Cricetulus griseus: one gene and its partner. The protein of the gene in region 2 interacts with the protein of the main gene of each other region in a pairwise test. Links are inferred from orthologs where the notes say so. Each region holds a gene or a part of one and is shown on either strand. Other genes may lie near its edges.

Region 1 (3,742 bases), on a different chromosome or scaffold from region 2:
GAATTCAAAAAATGCCGGGCGTCGGTGGCGCACGCCTTTAATCCCAGCACTTGGGAGGCAGAGGCAGATGGATCTCTTGTGAGTTCGAGACCAGCCTGGTCTACAAGAGCTAGTTCCAGGACAGCCTCCAAAGCCACAGGTAAACCCTGTCTCGAAAAACAAAAACAAAAAAACAAAAAACAAAAAAAATTTTAAAAAGTGTGAATTCAAGGTGACCCTTACATATCCAGTTTCAGAACAAAAAACCGACGGCGGCAGAGGGGGGACGGGAGAAGGAGCAACAATTACTGATTAGTTACATTTATTCTTTAGAGTTATAATTACAGAAAGAATTCTACCTATTTTTAACAGAGATCAGGGAGATCTTTTGGCTCTAGTAGAGTTTGCTTCTGTAAATAAAAAGGCACGGCATAAAATAGTAAACAACTAATCTTTATTGAACACTATACTAGACAATTATGAAATGTCTCTAAATCCATTGCAACTCGATGCTCGATAGGCATTATTTTCGTTGTAGTAAAGAAGTGAAGAAGTGTCCAAGCATTGAACTAAGGGACCCAAACTCGAACACATAAGCACACAACCTCATAGCAAGGGTAGTACCGTGTCACCACCACGCGTGGCTCAAAGGTCGGGGGGTAAGATCTACCTGCGGGACGCAAATCAATGGGTGAAAGGTTAACAGGAAGTGGCTACAAGACTAGAGGTTCTTAATGTGTCACAGCATGACAGAGGAGGCGTTACTAAAATAGTTTTCTCAACACCCTCTCAGCTGGTAAAGCCATAAAGAGTCTGTAATATCTGGAAGAAAACAAAAACAAAAACAAAAACAAAGCATGATTCTCAGGGTTGCTGCCCAGACAGCAGCCACAACGGGAGATAACAAAGGCGCATGCGCGGCATCCGGGTTTCCGGATGCGCGCCTAAGGCCGACGTGGCAAAGGGGTGGCTCCCCCAGTCCTACAGCATGGGGCGGAACTTCCGGGGACGGCACGCCAGCTCCCTCGGAACCGGAAGTGGAGCCTGGGATCCTTGACGTTAGGAACGAAGTCGAACCTGGATCTGGAGCCGGGTGAGGAGTGGCATCGCGAGGTTGCGCGGTGGGGAGGAATGCTGAGGAGAGGCCAGGGTATTTCTGGTCTGGCCGTGGTCCGGTTTTAGAGGAAAGGGAGGAGCCTGGAGGCGGGGTCTGGGAAGAGACCCTCACCTCCCGCATCCGTGACCGGCGATCGGTCCCAGACCCCTCCCTTCACCTCCTGGCCCAGGTTCCGGCTCTCGCCTCGCCTTCCCGGAATGTTGAAGGGCTTTAGAAGCTTGGTCTTTACTGCTTAATGAACCGGCCCTCATCGTGGCCCTAGAGGCTGGCGTGGCTTGCTGATCTCGATCCCTGGAGCTCCCAAGCCTCTGCATCTCGGGTACTTTCAGAGTTCTAGGAGGCTTGCCCCGCCCCTTTGGGTTGTCACCCTCGACTGTCCACCTAGAATGGAGTCAAGATTGGAGTTTGACTCCAAGCTTATTGCGTTGCTCTCTCTCTTGACCTGAGGAAGTTAAAGTGAGAGGGACGTCTCCCAAGCTCACTGTCAGTGGCATGTGTAAGGTTTAGGGTTTGGAAGGACAGTTCCTAAAATGGCTTTGACTTTACAGAGTTACCAGTCCGGTAGCAGTTCATCTTTTGGGCTTTGCTAGCAGACCTGAGTGAGAGGTCACACTCTTCCTGGGCCCCCTTCTGCCTGTAGAATAATTAGAATGATAAGATTGTTTAGATCTGCTGTCCCCCTTCTTGGAATGACCCTTGAAAGGACCTCCAACTCATCCCTCTGTTGCTGGGCAAGACTGCAATAGTTTTGATAGCGACCTATCAAGCAAACATTAGAACAGAAACCGAATTACCCGACATGCTTTTGGATTTAGAATACCCATACTCCTCTGCTTGAGGAATGAAATGAATGAACTTGTAATGGAATATTGCTTGCTAGGTATTCAGGTGTTCTCTACCTTTTTTTTTTTTTCTTCTCTGTGTAGCTCTGGCTGTCCTGGAACTCTCTCTCTCTGTAGACCAGGGTAGCCTTGAACTCAAAGAGATCTTCCTGCCTCTGCCTCTCAAGTGCTGGAACTAAAGGCGTGCACCATGACTGCTCAGCTATTGTTTTTTGATTTTGCTTTTTTGTCTTTGCAGGATTAATACACTGTTCTCATGGAAAGTCTGGGGTCAGAGTATCATTTGGATTATTGTAGGTCAGAGAAAGATGCCATTTCTCCCAGACAATTCTACAGTTGTCTTTTGTGGGGGAGGGATTTTAGTTGATCCATTTTTAATTTTTTTTGTGTGTTAGTAGTTCAAAACAGCTCAGCACATTTGAAGTTACTCAAGTGTTTATTGCCTGAATGGATGAGTTGATGGTAGACAGAATGAATGGAAAGTGGAAACATTGTTTTATTTACTTGTAACATCATGGTATTTATCAGCCAGGGGACTCTGTGTGACTAGACACTGAAAATCATACCACTGGAGAATGTCTGCTGTTCTGTTCCATTAGGTCTGTCTGAAGTTGAAATTTATACCTTCTTGGCAGTGACACAACATGGGGTTCACAGTAACTAAATCCTTGCTTTGAAGAAAGTGACTGGGTACTGGCTGGGGCAGGAAGTTACTGAGATCTGTGGTAATGTGGAAACAGTTTATCTGATCACTGCCTGATAAGGCCAATCCCTTTTTGTCTTTTCCTTCCTTCCCTGAATAGTTGCGCTCTCCTCAGAAAGTGTTTTGACTAATTTCTTTCTTTTCCTTCCTCCAATAGGTAAGATCAAATCGGGGATGCTCTCATAATGAATGTCAATCAATCAGCTCCACCTGTTCCACCATTTGGGCAGAACCAGCCCATCTACCCAGGGTATCATCAGTCCAGTTATGGTGGGCAACCAGGACCTGCAGTAGCTGCTACTCCCTATGGAGCCTACAATGGCCCAGTGCCAGGGTATCAGCAAATACCTCCCCAAGGTATGTTTCCAGGTTCCTTTTGAGTGGAGGAAGGGAATGAGCAGTCTTCACATTAGATTGTATTGCTCTGACGAAGCTGCTTAAGGACTGTGATTAAAGAACATGAATCTGGCTCGCCCCATGAGGCATACAAAGGTATGTCTCACCCTGTTTTTACATTTGTGACTGTTGCCACCATAAGACACCTAATGGGAATGAATTCCAGATTCAATTAACAGCTGACTTCTGTGGATGTCACCCCGGACAGTCTCACCTGGCTGCATTGTTAAGAGCTAGACAAGGGTTGTAGTCACAGGTTTTCCATTGCCTACTGATTTCAAGTTTGCCTGACATCACTTGTTCCTCATACGTGTTGAGAATGCTTATTTGACTTCTAGTTCTGACTATAAAATGACTCTGAGACACATTTATGTGTAAATGAATCTGGGAGGAAAAGTGTATTTGTATGGCTGACTTTTAGTATTCCTAGTCTCTTGTTGTATTTTGTTTTCCTTTGCTTGGGTTTCATTTTCTTAGATGTTTGACAATATCAGTGAAATAAGAAAACTTATTGCATTAGACTCTATGCCCCCAGCCCTCAGTGTTTTGTTTTATGTTACTTTTTCAAGAATAGCTCATTCTCTGCATGCTACCAGGCAGACTTGCAATGTTATTAACAGAAGACTTTTGGGTTTGGCTCTCTGATTACTTAGAGCAATGCCAAATGCTGTGTTGCTTAAGAAAGTAGATTCCACAGGCACAGGC
Region 2 (2,589 bases):
TGGGGGGTCTTCTGATTGTTGCACCTGGTTCCCGTCTCTTCCCCCCTCCCCCCATGGCTCAGGATCATATTCACTATGGACTTTTCCAGATGTCCCTGCCTCTGACTATGTCTCCCTTTTATCTACAATAAACTTTCTCTTTCACCACACCTATTAGTAGTCATGTCATTTCCTTCTTTCCTTCTTTCCTTCTTTCTTTCCTCCCTTCCTCCCTCCCTCCCTCCCTCCTTTCCTTACTCTCCCCTCCCTTTCTCTTCTGTTTTCCACTCAGTAACAAATCCAACTAACAGCAATATTGTGGAGATGATACAGTCGGTCAGGAGCCCAGAAAGGGGACAGAGAACTATAAAGGGGGTCAGGTTTGTTACCAGCAGTGATGCTCATGAAATCTGTAGCCTCCTTATTCTCAGGAAAAAAAAAAAAAAAACCCTTCAGATTGAAGTTTTCAGTAACTTTATTTTCTAAAATTATGTCCTAGGGGTATGTTTTCTTCCACACCACCCTTACTTCTTTAAAAATAATCAGAAACAAAAAGCACAGGCTGGATGGAGTCAGCCCAATGCTGCTCGCAAAGCGTTCAGGTCCCTCAAGAGCAGTTCTGCACCCGGCCTCTGCAGGGCGCGGGCCTCCCAGCAGCTCCGGAGGATGCTCTGCAACTTCCGCCCCGTCGGTGAGGAGGTGAACACTGCCCCCGCCAGGGACGGTCGCAGATTGTAGGCCACCACAGCGTACTGCACCTGCTGAGGCTCGCCTGAGTATGGCACCTCCCTGGTGGTCATCTGCCAGAGGGTGATGCCGAAAGAGTAGATGTCGGCTTTGCGCGTGGCGGTCTCTCCTTTCAGGAGCTCCGGAGCTTGGTGCGTGTAGGTGCCACCTATGTGGTGAGGGGGCGTCTGGCTGCACCACAGATCTTGCAGCTTTTGGGAGCAGCCGAAATCACTGATCTTACAGACGTCCTGCTCATTGATCAAAATGTTCGCTGGCTTCAGGTCCAAGTGCAAAATGCTTTGTGAGTGGAGGAAAAGCAGGCCATTAACAATATCTAGGGAATACTTAAGGCACTTCCCCAAACTCAGTTGTTCTCGGCTGCAGCTTAGAGGCCCTGGAGAGCGGGTGGCACCATAGATGACTTGGTGTAGAGTCACATTGCCCCCAAACTCCATGATTATGGTACCCAGGCTGTTAGAGCCCTTGGGCGTATGCGTGCTGGCAGCCACAACCCGGACTATGTTGTCATGGCGCAGTCTTGCAATGTTGAGTTCAGCCCAGAAACTCCGCTGGGATGCACGTAGGTTCTTGGTGCACTTGTTCACTTGCTTTATGGCCACAGGAACACCGTGGTAAGTGGCTTTGTACACCGAACCAAACCCTCCAGAACCCAGCCTATGCAGCAGGCATACCTGTTCCCAGTCGATGGAACACCAGGCCAGCCGGCGTGGCAGCCGCGGGGCCCGAGGAGGAGTGGCTCCCAGGAAGAGCTTCCCGGCCTTCCCCGGAGCCACCAAGGGGCTACTGCAGGGTCGCAAGTCCAACGACGGTGACAACTCACCAGGGAGGTAGCGACATAGGGCTAGAGGCGATGGCATCACACCTTCAGGTAGGAAAGGCACCAGGGGCACTAGGTAGAAATGACTAGGAACAACCCTGGGGAGTCTGGAAGCATGGTTGAAGATTCCTGATTTCACCCTAGCCCCTTTCCCTCCTTCCTTGTATTCTCAAAACGAGCTACATCTGTGCTATCACTCAGCAAGATGGGGGTGGGGTGCAGACGAAGCATGGCTAAAGTAAATCCTTAGTAAAACGACCTCTCACGGGTTAAATAGCACTGGCCTGCCTCAGGGCTCACCTCTCCTTTAAACTATTTCTTTAATCATAATACAACGAAAACGATTTTCAAGTAGCATCTGATGAGCATTAATCGGTCTTTAGACTGAAGAAGGAAAAAAAGCACAGTGAACTTGTGCACTTTTCAGGCTATAATGATTGTTAGTGCTAGTCCTCCTCAGCTGCGTTAAATCACTCCAAGCAGCTATTGGATGCAAGAGTTGCAATACAAATAGCAGGCATTTGTCGAACCACTTGCCAAGATTATTAGGTGCAACCTTCATAAGAATTAAAAATTGTAACTTTAATGTCATTAATCAAAATAGAATCAGTGATACAAAACATGCACACCTCCTAAGTTCATCAGAAGGGGGATTCTGATGGATTTGATTTCTACAGCAAGAAGACTTCTTAGCAACACCCCGACTTCCTACCAGTCCTTCCTTTCCAGGCAAGTCAGGTCACCCAGATTCTAGACCACAGCCAACAAGTTACTGGAACTTAACACAGACTTGGAGGGAGAGAAAAAGGAACAAAGTGAGTGTGATGGCCATAGCTGTAAATAAGCACAGGAAAACCAGGAGGAACAGACATGGCACAGAATCACTGGAATCCTTCTATAGTACAGAAAAGCAGGCACTAAACATAAATTCAGGGCCTGGCCACCAAACCAGACTCATCATTTCCAATTTTCATAATACAGTGCTCATTTTCATGCCATATCTTTGGGGGAAAAGAAGAGAGCAACAATCTTACTCTGTCATT

Evidence for each region.
Region 1: the proteins of Mos (region 2) and Sec24c interact in binary tests that used the Homo sapiens proteins (3 or more experiments, as listed by UniProt). The two-hybrid records come from large-scale screens. The link is inferred for Cricetulus griseus from reciprocal best matches to the Homo sapiens genes MOS and SEC24C.

Annotation. Positions count from the first base shown.
Region 1 is NW_023276807.1:200,310,220-200,313,961, reverse strand, and holds the start of Sec24c (protein transport protein Sec24C), read left to right. Parts: upstream 1-919; 5' UTR 920-1,072; intron 1,073-1,135; exon of another isoform or gene 1,136-1,415; intron 1,416-2,285; exon of another isoform or gene 2,286-2,663; intron 2,664-2,798; 5' UTR 2,799-2,826; coding exon 2,827-2,998; intron 2,999-3,742. UniProt on the Homo sapiens protein: Component of the coat protein complex II (COPII) which promotes the formation of transport vesicles from the endoplasmic reticulum (ER).
Region 2 is NC_048595.1:156,239,219-156,241,807, reverse strand, and holds Mos (proto-oncogene serine/threonine-protein kinase mos), read right to left. Parts: upstream 1,587-2,589; coding exon 552-1,586; downstream 1-551.